Linked DNA regions of Drosophila melanogaster. The protein of the gene in region 2 interacts with the protein of the main gene of each other region in a pairwise test. Each region holds a gene or a part of one and is shown on either strand. Other genes may lie near its edges.

Region 1 (4,067 bases), on a different chromosome or scaffold from region 2:
GTCGAGCGAAGAACTACATTCGATGTCATCTGCCCAAGTGGGCAGATTCCTTGGCTGCTTTAACTTAAGATGAAAATGTTGTTCGGGCATCAGACCAGAAGCTGTGAACTTCTCCATGTCTGATATACTTAGCTAATAAAATCTGTCAGTTAAGTACGGTAGGATATGGTTGATCACTAGGAAAAGTCAATTAATGCATCACTGATATCTGGAAAGGGTCAAAAAGGTATGGTACAGGAACTGCTGGCTGTGCCAGCTTCCACCGGAAAATATTTGCTTCCGTTCTTTGCCGTGTCCATTCTGTGGGATGGAAAATAAATTACAATTAAATGCAACAAACATGCAACACTCACTTACTCACTGCGGAACGCGGCGGATGTTTATTATCAAGTGGATACAACGGCGACAACCTCATTAGCTTCTGCCCCTGGTCGGTGCCCATCGATGCCATGGCTCCCATTCCCTATCCCATTCCCTCCATCCATCGCCCTTTTCCAGATCGAGCGACAGTAAAAGTGGCCCGGGCATGCTAATCCGGAAGTAGGTCATTTTCCGAACGCAAATGAAAGCGTGAGCTCAGCTCGAACTCGGGCTGAAAAGCGATGAAAATCGTAGTGATGAATACATATGTGTGCCTGCTGCGAGTGGGATGCGCTGCCATGGGAAATTGAAACCGAAAACTTCAGTGGAAAGCGAGCTTCAAATGGGAGTCGCATGCACAGAGCCACTGTCATTATAATACGGCAATCAAAATGAGAAATAAGACATAAGATTTGTATGCGAATGGTGTGACTGGGAATAAAGAAGGCTATCTTAAAGTTACTATGAAAATCATCTAACGACGTTAATAAACATAATCATAACTTCATATAGTAAGATGTGCATTTGAGATTTCAAGCCATACTAGTTAAATTTTCTTTGTTCTATTTACTTTTTGAATATAAATTATAGTATGGTTAAGTTTTAAATAGTTTATTTCTCATCAAGATTAGCTGATGAATTTTTCCACTTAATTGAATTTTAAATGCGCAGTTATCTAAAATATGTTGGGTTCCGTTCTCCTTCTAAGGTAAATTCCAGTTTGCTGTCCGTATAACACCATTCTTGACCAAGATTACAAGGCATTTACAAGGCATAAAGACTTTTGACCATTTGTGGAAAGCAGCGGCCATTTAAGCAGCGTTCCGTAGACACCACGCAAAATGCGAGCAACTTGCGCATAAATCGCTATGTTTTAAACAATTAACAGTGGCCACCTACCCAAAATGGGGGATCCAAAACGATTCACAGAGTGACCGATCGCCCACGAGATGGCCATGCCTCAGTTTTCTGAATCCCACGTTCAATTTCGCTTTCAATTTGACGCGTGCGCAGGCGCAACCTTTCAATTTACATATGTGGACATGTGGGCGAAATTTTAGTATAATTTTTTCTCATTCTAGCCGCTCTGCGGATGCTGAAAGTTTTTTCAATTGCAGTTTCACTTTTAGCTAAAGACAATGGTTCGTTTTTATGATCTGCTTTTTTTTTATTTTTCTTTAATTTGGCTTGGGAATTGCGTTTGCATCGGTAACACATATATCGTGACTTCAATGATCTCAGATATACATTGCCGGATTTTATGTAATTAATTATGTACAGCATCTATAACTACATAGCAACTATTTTAAGGTATAGTAAAAACATATTTTGTATAATTAACACGGTATTTTCCTTAATCGACCAGCAATTCAAAGAAACCAACACTTTTCTCGCTTTTATATTGTTGAAAACCATGTTAAATTGATTGTCTAAGAATTTGATATTTACATATATTATTTCAATAAATACTCGACTATGGCATTTTTCTTTGTATATTTGTTTGAACTGCGTAAGTCTTAAAATTGTTAGCCTCGACTAAAGCACCCGATGCCAAGAAGAATCTTATAAAAAAAACCGAAGATATCCGTCCGGAGGCCAGAAAAATGTATATATCTTAATATCTAGAATACTACAGGACTAAAATGTATATTCAACGAATATTTATATATTTTGATGATGTTTTTTTTTTTTTTGAAAATTGCAATACTACAAGATCATATTTATAAATATCAAGCAGAACGAAACAAGAGCCGTTGCAAAAGCGCTTATGTAACATGAAATTCGTATATATAAGGAATGCAATAATACCTTACTTCAGCTGAAGCCACTTCTTCGAAATGAACCAGATTTTATTATGCTCTCCAATTTTACGTAAGTTGACTTATGCATTTTTGAGCACATTTAAGAACGAGTATCTTTTCGTTTAGTGCTGCTTTTTACAGTGGCAAGCTGCGATAGTGAGCAACAACTCGATTCAGCTATGCACCTGAAAAGTGATTCTACGAAAAGTGCATCTCTGAAAAATGTTGCTCCCAAGAATGATGAGACACAGGCCAAAATAGCCAAAGATGATGTAGCTCTGAAAGATGCGAAAAAGGGCGATTATATAATGGATATCGATATTTCTGATTTGCCGCTGGATGATTATCCAATCAATAGGTCCAAATCACTAAAAAGCTCTTCCATTGACTTGAATAATATTCCTTTCAATAAAGGACTAGATGATTTCCCGGCAAAAGAAAAAAATCAAGGATCCAATCAAAGTGCGCTCAAGGCCCTGCAACAGAGGTTACTAACGGAGCAGAACAATAGTTTACTTCTCCGGAACCATTCCATATACTTGATGAAAGAAATAGAGGCCAGAAAAACGGATATTATCAAAGTACGACAGTTAAACCTCGATTTAGAGCTCGAGCTAAATACTGTGAACCGCAGACTTTTGGAATTGAATGGGCAACTGCAAAACACTCGAAAGTCCACAAAGCCGTGTAAGAAACGTTCTAGTAAGGATAGCGCCCCACCTGCCGCCAATCAGTTTCAGGAAGCCAACGTCAGGAACACTTACCGTAACAAATATCTAACACTTCTGAAAGAACTTAGTCAGAAGATCAATAACGAAATCGCGAAAGTCGCTACCGATGTACCCACGGAGACAAATCCTTCCCAAGGGAATCTACCAACACTTTAATAGTTAAAATCATATGGTTTCCCATCATTTAAGAACAGAAACAATAGTATTGAGTCATTGCAAGACCTTCTAATTGCGCACTTACTTATTTTTCTGATCTTGTTAGCCGTAATAAATGCGATTCATAACGCTTAGGCCAAGTGCTGGTTGGATTCTTTACAGTCTAGAGAATACGTTTCCACAATGAACTACTTCGCGGTGATCTGCATTTTCTGTAAGTTCGTAAGGATCTTCGAGGTTCTTAGAGTTTGCCTAATTTAGTTTTCATCACTTAGCCTGCATTTGCCTTTGGCAATTTAGCGATGCTGCCCCCTTTATAAGCGTTCAGTCTAGTTCACAATCAAGATCCCAGAAAGTGATGAATGGCATGTTGAGAACCCTATACGACTACAGTGTTCAGGATAGTGTGAACGATGCGACTGGGCATTTGATACAAACTCACAAAGCAGACTTCAACTCGGATGTCATGAGTCCTGATGAAATAGAGAGTGTGCGCCAGCAACTGAACATGGCATAATTTTGGATTCACCAGCAAATATCTTAAACAGCGATTATTGCATATGCTTTTTAACCGCAGTTACTTCAAGCAAAATATTATGTATCTATGCAATATGTAATATATCATTTAAAAGATATAATAACCCAAATAAAGTATTTACCATATTATAATGGACATGGACTCTAAGAAGCTTTTGAAATAAGAGTTCCGATATTTTCCAAAGCTGTGATAAAATTGTATTTGAAATATAGAGTGGGGTATATGGTATTTGTAGTTATACATATAAAATGTTATACATATAAATGCAGACGAAAGGACATAAATATAAAATACATTTTAGACATAAACTCGACCTGTGGGTCATAAAGATTCGTCTAGCTCAACTTTCACAAATATGGGATCAGTAATATGCGATACTGTGGCGCCTCTTTAACATAGTTTATACATTTGGTCAGGTTCTTTTGGTTTTTGGCCGACATTTACCTGCTTTTAGCTACCTGTGGTCCCCGTGGTGATTTG
Region 2 (7,723 bases):
AACTGCAACAGCAAATGCAACAACTGTGGCAACAACCGACGACGACAACAACGGCATCTCAAGGTGAGTGAAGGCCAAGGGCCACATTTGGCCACAGCTTGGACACGGGAGTCATGCACTCCAGTGGCGAACAAAATGGGGGTCTTAGGGGGGTCATAAGTACCCTTAAAAATTATAATACTTGGTTAGATACATATGTATGTACATAAGAAATATATGTTTTATGCGAAGAGCTTACAAATATGACACAGAAAAGGGTTAATTAAATCGTTAAGTCCGCTAAATAAATAATATAATGTGAATTTTTAGACACCTTATAGTATACACTGAAGATATATACTTATTTCAACCGGACACTAAGAAAACCCCCTAAGAATATGTTTCCCATCCGCCTCTGATGCACTGCAGCTGCATTGGTATCTCCTGTTCCTCCTTCGCTGGTCATTTTTATTTTTAGCAGCGGGCTTATCGGATGCCTCAGATCTCTGGTGCTTAAACTTCGCTCCCGATTAGGAGGAGGAGGAGGAGCAACTGCAAGAACCACATTGGATTGGCCTTGACGGCTCGGCTGATAAGTGCGTTTTAATGTTAGCCCCGTTGGCACTCAGTTTCAATCAAAGCCCAATTCTCTACAACCATTCCAGCCTGGCTTAATGAGCTGGTTAGTTCTGGCCTGGAATTGAAGTTGGATTGGCAATATAGTCCGGTCCACTTGGTTCACTCCCTTTGTTCTGTCTCGAGTGGACTGTGCCCTGATTTGTGTACCACCATTGGTTCTTTGAACTGCCTTCGTGGCTAATTAAAGGTGCACTTAAGATAGGCCAGGTGGCAAGAATCATGTTTTTCATTTTTCAGGACTGGGAGTACTTTGATTTTATGTCCTAGAAAAAAAGAGCAAACGAATCAGTCTAAAAGGTATTTCAGCTGTAAAACATTCCATAAATATAGGAAATTTAACTCTTTCTAATTTTAATTAAAGAATATTCTAAACGTCATCTGGTCAATAAACTAAATGAATATTGTAGAATGAAATATTTAAATTACATATCAAACATTGTATATTAAATAATAATAATCAATGGACCTCTGTTTGTAATACCTAATGCTTAATTTACGAAATTAATTAGAAGTCTCCTCAGGGTATTTCGTTTTCCAAGTTAGTCTTTCAGTTGCTTTGTATTTTGGTTTTGGGCCAGGGCTATGACTTCATCGAGTTGGCCACAAAAACTTACCAAATTCTTCCGACCGTCAGTTCTCATAAATCAATGTCAAAGGTTTTTTTTTCGTTCGTTTAGGGTTTGTTTTGGGTTTAGGACGGGCTTGTTGTTTCAGTATGTGTTTAATCATTTTATGGAGTGCGAAGTAATTTCCTTATGATTTCCTATTTGACTTTTACTTTTTCCTGAATGTCCAAAATAGAAAAGTTCAAAGAACCCATTTACCTAGTAAGGCGGTCGACAAATCTTAACCGCTTGAAATAAGTACTCATTTGCATAGCTAAGCATGAGCTCACTGGTTAGTATAGCCCAAGTCACACCCCAAAAACACGTCTAAGTAAGCCCAAAAGATACACCCTTCATTATTCGAATTGTCTGGCACTTGTTGTGTGTGTTTTTTGCCCAACAATTTCACGCATCGTTTTTTGTTTTTTTGCGCTTAAACAAATTTACTGACTACAAACTCACTGTTTTAGTAGCTCAGACTGTGTGGCGAACCCCTCCCCTTCTCTTTAGACAATATAAAATCAGGAAAAGCTTTAAGCTTTATTCCCTAGAATTTCACTCACAACAAACCAAAATTTTGAGTGTAACTTGTTGGTTTGATAAGATTCTGGTGTGTAGCGTCACTTTTGTTATTCTGAGTTGTTTTTAGGTCTCGTTTGTTTCTTTTTCTTTCTGATAAATGGCTTCGTCGTGTGGCTTTCGTTGTTAGTTTTCGTGTATAAAATTTTGCGAAATGAAGTCATCGCTTGAAAAAAAATTGGGGGGTCAGTAAAAGTGTCTATAAGATCCAAATCGTTTTCCTTATCTCATTCAGAAAGTTTTGGAATTTATGTTAGCTCACCAACGATTTGCCATCTTTTCTTTGGATAAAATGCTAAGGAGGATTTTCCTTTTTGAGTTTCTATTTCACTCAGCGAAAGCTCACTCAAAACAAAAATATCACTCATACGCCGCTTGGGCCTTCGCTAGCCACTGGCTGCGCATTTGTCCAAACAGTTGAGTTTCGACATCGCCAGCATTCGCGCGTTTGCCTTAAAGTGATTGGAAAATAGCCGAGGAATAAAACAAATATTTTTTTGGAAATATATTCAAGAATTTTTGGAACTTTTTTAATAACAAATGTAAGTTGGAAACGTTTCGAGAAAAATAATCTAGTTCGTTGGATTTATTTTTTTTTTTAAAATGTTACTGTATCCTGCATCTATAAGCAGACTCCGAGCCAAGGATATTTTTTTTATTCATTTTATGAGTAGCAGGTTCATATTTTCAAGAGCAGATTTTGACCCACTTACCGCGCATCGCGTTCCCCTTTTCTTTTGTTCCTGGGGAGCACCATTGTTTTCGATTTCCTTTGGGAGGTCCTGATTTAGGCGCATTTTCCCCGCTTCCGTGTGTATATATGCGTGCATTTGAATCATCAGTCTGAAATTCCAGTACCGAGACCCCCCAGGAAACCCCTTCTCCAAACTGGCGCTTGCGCGTTTCCCAGCTCCCAGTGATGTCATCTGGGCTAGTGGTGATGTAGCTACACATTTCATACACATATTATGTCCCGAGCATAAGTCCCCCTCCTAAGTCAATGATTTCTCTATTGCGTTGCGTGCTCTATCAGAATGCCCATGACTTCCTGTTTTGTTCCCCCCAAAATAAAAGTTCTCTTTAATTTATGCATTCAGTCCGAGGTGCTAATATTTCTGTGTGTTTATTAACACACGTAAACTCATATGTGGTGCAGTATTTCATGTTTCTCCCCCCAAAGTCGTTTGTTTTATAAATATACATCGAGATGACCCAAATTTCGCTTCCTCCATTCGCTTTCCAGCGGTCCACTTGAGGTAGGTTGGGTTTATAATTGCGTTCCCCTCTCCAGGAAGTCCATTCTTTTCGAAAATGGCTATCTATAATATTCATTCATATTCCTATTCAAATTGTGGTCATATGTCATATATATTGCCCAATTAACTTTTACCATTTTGGTAGAAAACTAATTAAAATGTTGGCAACGAATTCGCAATGCTCGACTGGAGCTGGATGAGAACTTGTTCTCCAAATCGAAAATACAGAGAAAGAATCCAAAACAGAGATGGGAAATGAGAAGAATCGAATTATTTATGGTCTGACAAGCAAGCGGATTATTTCTGATTTAGACTATCCACGCTCCCCATCAGACTGCCTGATTTTCTGCCATTCATTTCACGAGGGGTATCTGCACTTTGAGTTGCCAAAGAATATTAAGAAAATAATTTATTTTGTGTGAATATAGTATCCAAGTCTGATCAGGGTATCATAGGATGAGTCTTTCCATTGTCGATTGCGATGATTTAATACTTCCGCTTTTTAAATTGATTACGATCATCTTAAACTGTTAGTATTTCCCTCGAATAATTATAATATTTAGATTTTTGTAAAACCTTTCAGAAAATTATTAGCAATCGGGCTTCTATTAAAAATCAAACTAATAACGTCAATCTTAGTGTAGAAAATTGGATCTAACAATCCGAACTATTTGCATTGGCTGATGGTAGTTAAAAAAGATTGATTTTACTAATATTACAAAATGAATTCTATTGTGAAAAAAAGCATTTTGAAAGCCACCATAGATAACCTAAAGATATTTCTTATTAGTTTTGATTTTACAGGTAATTTCCTAGTCGATAGCCTCTTGTTTTTTGCCATCTTAAAACTCTTCTTGCATATTCCAACTTCTTTTGTGGTGTAGTTTGTCAACTTTTCTTGTTTCCGAGTATTTATGGCTTCCAATTACATGTAGGGGCGGAGTAAAGGGTTCCATTAGTCTTGTCCGGGAACTGGGACCGGATAATTTGTATCGTCTTGAGCGGAGTTCAAGTTCAATGGCCCTGGTCTTGAGACCAATAAGATGATTAATGACCGGCAGACTTGCTATGCATGCAATGTTCCCAATTAACCACTCAGTTTACATAGATCATTTCGATGGATTATCTGGGGAATATGGGCTATTAAATTGCCTCACCCCAGAGCTATTCAAAGCTGATCCCAGAACAGCGTAATCAAGAGCCGGCGTAATGAGGCGATGACATAAGCACTCATTTTTCGATTTGGATTGCGAATGGGGCTAGGGGGTGGTAAAATAGTATTTGACATGCTCGACGGGCTGCATCAAGGTCATGGTGATTCTACCCCGCCCGTCCACTTCGATTTCGATTCGCATCTGTGCGGGCACAAGCCGTGGCATCATATCTCACGGATAGAGGACTCCAAACTGGTTGCAGTCGCATCTTATCGCCGCATTAAATGCTTGCCCAAACGGCTTCCATCTCTCCTGGGGCTCCAACTTGCAACCTTAAGTGGTGCGTAATTAATGGCTCCGCCAATAAATGCTCACGTTTTATTTACTGTTTATGGAATGATGGGGATGGGTCTGAGGATTCGACTTCGTGTTGGGTAGCCTGTAAACAAGAGGACAATTTATGCTACAAGCAATTTTAAAACTAAATTATCATCCAAATTTATGCCACGTTCGGTGGGTAACAAATTAAGCGAGGAATTTCTGGCGATGCGTAAAATATTTATTGCTCTTTTTGTTATTTTAATAAGCGTAAAAGTGATTCATTTTAATAATTTTAGGGTATATCTATAACTGTATAGCTGTACCGTAAATACCTAATATCGCCTTAGGATTATTAAAACCCATGATAACTGCATGCTAGAGACTAATCATAAAAGATCTAGCAAGCTAGCGCTAAGTTCTGACCCCCATAGAGTAACCCATGTGAGCCAAACCTGTTGACTATTTGTTTTGTGTATTTGGGTTTGCCAAAAGGCGATAATTAGCTGCGTTGGGAGATGGGGGACCCAAACCGATGACGCCATCTAATGATTGAGTCTCTCCCAATTTGCCTTTAGATTTCCATCTCTCGAAATCTAGCTGAGAGAGCTTTGGCCTAGCTTTGGGTGGGTATAGCTTTGCCTTTGTCCAGTTCAGCATGGGTTGTGATATCATTGCGAAAGCGAAGTGAGTAAAGTACTGATAAGGTGTTCGCAAAGATACGTCTGGGAATAGCACCTACATATGTAGATAGTTGACAGTGACGGACAAGACCCACCGCAATGTTGGTGAGCGTTGTGGCCCACAGGTGAGGAACTGCGTAGGTGACAACCGTAGTCAACCGATTACGCAGGAGCGGAAAAGTTGCGTGTTGGAAGAAACCACTACAAAATGTTAAACAAAACAATGACCTATCAGGCTAGGCATATTATTAATAATAAATGATCCTCAGTCCATCTGTAAAATTGAAGGTTCTTTGTCCGTAGTTGTTTATTTATTACTGGGCATCTATTAAAACACCTGTAGGGTTCAGTAAAGGTTAAAAAAATATATATAATATTAAATATATTTTTCAGATCCACCATGTCCGAGGTAGCTGCAGCAAATGGAAGCCCCTCCCCAGCGCCAACTCCTGAGGTGCCCGCTACCGAGTTGGCCCAATTGGCGCTGGAGGATGAGCCCAAGGTTAGCTTTTCGGATCAGTTCAAGGCCTTCTCCAAGTTCGGGGACTCCAAGTCCGATGGCAAGCTGATAACGCTGTCGCAGAGTGACAAGTGGATGAAACAGGCCAAAGTTATCGACAAGAAGATCACCACCACGGATACAGGCATCCACTTCAAGAAGTTCAAGGCCATGAAGATCTCGCTCAGCGACTACAACAAATTCCTGGACGATCTGGCCAAGACGAAAAAGGTGGAGCTGTCGGAGATCAAGCAAAAGTTGGCCAGTTGTGGAGCTCCAGGAGTTGTGTCCGTTTCGGTGGGTTTGATAAATTGGTTGTGAAAAATATGATCTATATAAGTCAAATGATTAAGATTGATTTTAAAGTGTAAAGAACTTCGAGAAGACCATTTAGATATGACAAAATTTAAATGATTTTTTTTTGACTCATTTAAACTATCAATTGTTAAAGTAGTTTTCTTACAGAAGTTCTTAAAAAATATCTTTTTAAACCTTTGAAAGTCATAACCATATACTTTATGCCTTTATTGAAAACCTAATCAACATTTTGTTACCATTTTTAGGCTGGAAAAGCCGCAGCTGCCGTGGATCGATTGACGGATACGAGCAAGTACACCGGTTCCCACAAGGAGCGTTTCGATGCCTCCGGAAAGGGCAAGGGTATCGCGGGCAGACGGAACGTGGTCGATGGATCCGGATATGTGAGTGGCTACCAGCACAAGGACACCTACGACAATGCCCACTAGATGGGGTAACCACCGTTTTTCACCCTCTCATAAATCTGTATTTCTAACTTTTGTGTTTCCCTAGTTAATGTCTCCCAATCTAATTTATCTTTGTGTATATAATAAGTTTGTGATAATTTAAGTGCTTACAAATAAACTTATATTTTTGATTATAATTTTTGAGTTCCTTTACTTTGTTTATCCTTCTTTGTCCTTTGATACGTAAAATTTTGAAGCGGCCCAAAAAGAGTTCAAAAGTAAATCCAAATCAAATTTATATACATTTCATGGCAATCAAACCCATGTTTGGTAGTCTTAAGATAACAGATAAACTTTTAATATTACAATTTGTGAAAGAAATTTAAATATCACATATGGAAACCAAAGATATACGACATACATATGTAGATATATGTTATGTTTTCACAAGAATTTTGCTTGAATAAATACACTTTAAAATATTTGCATTGCTAAAATTTGTATTGGGAGGAAATACAATTTAAAAAACCAAAATTTTAAAGCAATTAAGATGGTTTTGTAAATCGAAATATACATTTAATTGTAAGATCTTTGAAAAATGCCCAACATGTGTACCTTCTTAAAAGCAAAGATTTCACTGGAAGATAGTTATTAAGAGATCATTGCTTTATCTACACAATGACATTATCACTGATGCAAAGCTGACATCGAAAAACCGGAGCGGTGTGAAGCAGACTGAACGCTACAGCGACCAGATGGGGATGGAAATTGATATATGGGCATAAGTTGCATAATCCTAACCCAGAGCAGGTGGAAAACTAGCTATTGATTGCAGTCGAACCAAAGTCACTCAACGATATATCATATAGCCCTTGGGAAATAGGTATAAAAGCGGCGAACATTACAGCTCCAAGTCAGCAGTGCAACTGAGGAGCTCAGTGCTTGATGAAGCCACAAGGAATACCACCGACTACTACACGAATCAGCCAGACCAAGATGTCCTTTCGCGGCAAGAATGCAGTGGTGACCGGTGGAGCTGGAGGCATTGGACTGCAGGTGTCCAAGCAGCTCCTGGCCGCTGGAGCAGCGGTTGGTTGTTTTACACATAATTACGTGAAGTAATTTCTAAAGCGAGTGCTTCCTAGAAGGTGGCCATCATTGATTTGCAGGATAATCTGGAGGAGTTTGTAAAACTTAGGGCCGCTCATCCCACCCAAAGCGTAATGATCATCAAGATGGATGTGGCGAACAAGAAGGGTGTGGAAGCCACCTATGAGGAGATAGCCAAGACCTTCGGTAACATCGAT
Region 3 (4,354 bases), on a different chromosome or scaffold from region 2:
ATTGTATCAATTAAGTGCTTGTGGATTCACCGAGCGGTTCTTTTGGTTCAACTTTTTGGAAATTCGATGCCCTTGCATATTTAGCCAGGGCAAGTCCTTTAATTAAGACTGACAAGCAGGATGGCTGAAACTTTGAAGAGCTTATGAATTATTTCCTTTGCAGGACTTTGACTCCTTCAACCGAACAGCACAGTCGGTTTTATGGCTTTAAGGGTATATTAATCATCACTCTTGAACAGTTGCTACTCATTTATACGTGTCTGAACTGAATTACAATGAATACCAATTATAAAATGCACAGGAATTAAGGATATTATTTTTAGAAGCTATAGGTGGCATGCCATTTATTAGTAGCGTTAGCTGAGTATTTGATAAGTTTATTCACTAGTTTTACTTTAACAGAGGGACTTGTTTTTAACCTTTAACAAAACCTAACAAAAGCTCATTCTGTAAGTATATAAAAGTAGTCACCGCTGATAAAATATATATTTTTTTTATTTAAGTCTATATAATCTAAGTTTCAGACGATGCTTGCTCTTCGCGCTTAGCGCTAGCAAAGCTTCGAGATTATAATCTCAGCCGCTTATAATCTGCGTAAGACCGCCATCATCGTAGCCACCTCCACCGCCGCCTCCGTAGCCTCCTCCACCTCCTCCTCCGCCGTTACCATAGCCGGGTCCAAAGTTGCCCGAATATACTGGACGACGGCCACCTCCTCCACCTCCGCCGCCGTTGTAGTATCCTCCACCGCCTCCGCCTGCGTTGTATCCACCTCCTCCTCCTCGTCCTCCGTTGCCACCTGTGTAGACTCCAGGTCCTTGGCCTCCGGGTGGATTACCTAATAGTGATATTTAAATCAGTTTCTTGAGGAGTAGTAGTTACTTAATTGCGCGCTAGCTACTGCATTTTTTACGCAAGCCAGCAAATGTACTATGCGCTATAGAAATTAAAAGCTTAAAGCTAAGTGTTCGGAATTATATTATTCATAAACTTAACCAATAACAAATGTTTAGAGTATCGTTAATAATCACTTAATGACTTTCGTTGCCAAGAAATACCATAATATAATAACAAATTGATTGTTCATTCAAACTTTCGCTAATGAAAACACAAAATTTCCTTTTAAACTATGCCTGATGTGGCAGCGACGAAAATCGTTGAACAATTTTTGAATAAATGGCCCAAATTAATAGGCATTGACTTACAGTCGTAGCAACCGCCACCGATGTAAACAGCCGCCTCCGTTAGAGCCAGTGCAAAAAAAGCGATAATCGCAAATGCCGTCAAGGTTCTCATTGTGGCTGGTCTATTAGAACGTCGAACTGGTCTGGACCAGGTACGAACCGCAACAGCAGCTTATATACGATGCACTCATCGATTCCGATTCCGATACTGAATTTGAATTCGAATTCAAACCCAAACAGACCTTATCGCTGCAAAGAACTATTGCTGTGCAAACAAACCACTACGTATGTATTAAGTATTAATCTCAGGGAATTGCCCGCGGATGGGTTTCAAAAACAATCTGTAGCGCATCAGTTGGTCAGTCGTATTGCATTCAAGATACTCTACGTTACCTTTTTAACATAACAAATACACAAAATCTGTAAAATCTATAATAAGTCAGACACTTTTCATTTCTACAAAGTTGCAAAGATTTATTTTTAATGAAATGTATTTGTTTTCAAATATATTTTTTGCTTTTTCATTGTATTAAGTATCTTATTATTTAAATATAAATTGTTAGCTTTAGAACTAAAGCTTCTACATTTCACTCACGAGTCACGACTTTCGGTTCTGTAACCAGTTTTCCTTAGATGTATGGATAAAATTTAATGGTGTGCGATTCTCTGGAATCGCTTGCCATTCATGTTTACGTCTGGGAATAATTGTAAACCGACTTTTCGGGGCGTGACTGTCATAAGTTTCTTTGAAGAAGTTCAAGGAAATCAACTACGTCGACCTGATGCCACAAAACCGTGTGCGGAAAACCCCATCGAATTGCGATTTGATAGTGTTCTAGTGTGAAATTAATTTAAATATATTGTTCAAATACAAATCGAAAGCTCCAAACGCTTAGGCTTATGCAAATCGATTTTGATTCGGATCGAATCAAGTGCCGGACTATATAAGTAGCGTGAGAGTCGATACGGTCATCTATCTATCGGCTTTAATATGAAGTACCTGACGTGTGTGCTGCTCCCGTTGGCTTTAATTCCGACTCTGATCGGCGGTAAGCTGGACGGGATTGCTGCTGACGCTAATTGATACACACTGAAATTATTTCCAGCTCATCCCAGCACAGTGGTGGTGAATGGCGTCTGTCTGACTTGTAAGTTGCGATTGTTTTGCCAGCTAGGCAATTGGACAACTTAATGAATAATAATATGCACTCGAAAAGGTCCCAATCCGAATGGTGAACCCGTCTACCTGGATGGCCAGCAGTACCGCAGCTTCTCCTCATCCCCTGGCGATGGTAATGTGGTCATTTCCCGTGGAAATGACGGTAGTGGCGGTGGAGGTGGCACCATTTACCGGAGGGGTGGTAATACCATCGTCAATGGCAGATGTCAGCACTGCAACGTGGATCCCTATTAAAGGCTTAAACAATAAAGTCTGAATATTGAATTAAAATTGCGCACATATCGATCAATCCATTTCATACTTACACTTGGCTATGTACAACATCATTTAGCTAAAAGCATTGACAATCGTTCAACCCAGTCTCTCTGCAAATTCGATGAATGTGATGGTTTCGAGTGCAGAGGGCATCATCTGATGGAGGCAAAAAATGGAAAAATGAGCGTTTTATATTCAGTTTTTGTTACCACGAAGTACACGTGGAGAAACATGAAACATCCGAGTTATTTTATGCTGCGAAAAAAGCGTGAAGAATGTTATAATTGCTTTTGGTCGAAATATTCAGTCCTGAAAATCAAATTTTTCACATTTAAAATAAGAATTTTTTTTAACGATTTCCAGTACCTCATTGCGTGCACTGCGAGCTGTCTGTTTGTGAACATTGGCTTCTCTCATCCTTCTCAAAAATAAGTGATACAAAAGCGTTACATTTTCAAAAGCCTTGGTTTCAAAACAGTCTGCAAATAAGGGAAGACCCACGGATTTTGTGACGGAAAAATAGAGAAATTCGTGCTGCCAATGGCATCGATTGTTTGAACTTCAGCTAGTTGCCACATAAACTGGGCTGGGAGCTGACGTCGCTGTCTCCAGAGTATTGCACAGCATCGATAATCAAATGCGAGTAACCAACCGTGCAATTTACGCCAGTGGATGTGTTGTCAATGAAAACGCTGGCCTGATGTAAGGGTGCTTAAGGTTGCGCGTGCCACGTGGCGTATACGTAATGCTACTGCAGGAACGGCAAACAGAAGCCTCTCAAATATTTGCTTTGAAACTAACTACTCGACAAACAGTAAACACTTAGTGCATACACACACACACACACACACACACACTTCCCAAGAATATTTTGTGCAGAAGTTTCGAATAAAACTGATGCTGTGTTTTTATATACAGAATAAGAAGGGAAAAGTTTCATTCAGGCTTAGCATGCGAAAACAATTAAAATTGTAAAAGGATTACTTAACAATCATACAATTTTGATTTAAGCGTATAACTTAAGAGAATAGTATTGATTCCCGGACATCCAAGAATAAAAACCTAAGCTTTATTTGCAATTAAAAAAAAATACAATGCATTGAAATCAATGGACTGCCCTTGCGGATGTGCTAAATTCAGAAAAACGCTCGACTGGCTTAAAATTCAATGAACATTTGGGTGGCATAACCATACCAATCGTAAAGGGTTTCGATACACTTTCTCTGATTTACTTTTAATACACTTTATTGGCAGAAATGTGTCGTTTCCTATCTTTTTGGGTCACAAATTGTTTACACGCAACTTTAGAAGCCCCATGAAGCTGAGGAACTCAGTCCTAGTCCAGAACAGGGTGGTTTATCTGCCTAGCAACTTAAGGACCTTGAGCTGGGGAATGTTCGAAATTGAATTTATGTTGACTTGTATTTGATTTCAGGTCAATTTCTGTTCTCTTGTGCCTAATTTGTGCGGCATTAGAGGGGAATTTCTGGGGCAGGTGAAAGGTGAGCCGATCGGACTTGTGGCAGCAGTGGCCATCTCCTTCACGCTTTTCAAATAAATTTTAACTTTTTTCTGTTTCGCCCCCGCAGTGTTTTGCCAGAAGGCAGAATTGATTTATTTGTACACCAATGTTGTTTGCCCTGGGGGCAGCGCCTTTGGTAATATTGTCACGTGCTTGGAAACTCTTATATCTGCCACTGGTTGAGCTTTATTTGAAAATCCCGGCCGCATAGCA

The links. Proteins that work in one complex are often made in the same cells at the same time.
Region 1: the proteins of ringer (region 2) and Acp26Aa interact in a two-hybrid assay, tested with the Drosophila melanogaster proteins (one large-scale study listed by BioGRID).
Region 3: the proteins of ringer (region 2) and BomBc3 interact in a two-hybrid assay, tested with the Drosophila melanogaster proteins (one large-scale study listed by BioGRID).

What each region holds. Positions count from the first base shown.
Region 1 is NT_033779.5:5,892,003-5,896,069, reverse strand, and holds Acp26Aa (accessory gland protein 26Aa), read left to right. Parts: upstream 1-2,173; 5' UTR 2,174-2,198; coding exon 2,199-2,232; intron 2,233-2,288; coding exon 2,289-3,049; 3' UTR 3,050-3,187; downstream 3,188-4,067. Other genes in the region: Acp26Ab (accessory gland protein 26Ab), read left to right, coding at 3,233-3,263, 3,325-3,566. UniProt on the Drosophila melanogaster protein: Male seminal protein which enhances ovulation in female Drosophila by stimulating the release of oocytes by the ovary following mating.
Region 2 is NT_037436.4:16,353,920-16,361,642, reverse strand, and holds ringer (ringmaker), read left to right. Parts: upstream 1-2,214; 5' UTR 2,215-2,344; intron 2,345-5,194; exon of another isoform or gene 5,195-5,338; intron 5,339-5,451; exon of another isoform or gene 5,452-5,552; intron 5,553-5,606; 5' UTR 5,607-5,613; coding exon 5,614-6,009; intron 6,010-6,275; coding exon 6,276-6,458; 3' UTR 6,459-6,897; downstream 6,898-7,723. Other genes in the region: Pdh (photoreceptor dehydrogenase), read left to right, coding at 7,362-7,505, 7,562-7,723.
Region 3 is NT_033777.3:22,085,028-22,089,381, forward strand, and holds BomBc3 (bomanin bicipital 3), read left to right. Parts: upstream 1-2,155; 5' UTR 2,156-2,175; coding exon 2,176-2,233; intron 2,234-2,290; coding exon 2,291-2,332; intron 2,333-2,401; coding exon 2,402-2,598; 3' UTR 2,599-3,474; downstream 3,475-4,354. Other genes in the region: BomT3 (bomanin tailed 3), read right to left, coding at 576-838, 1,206-1,296.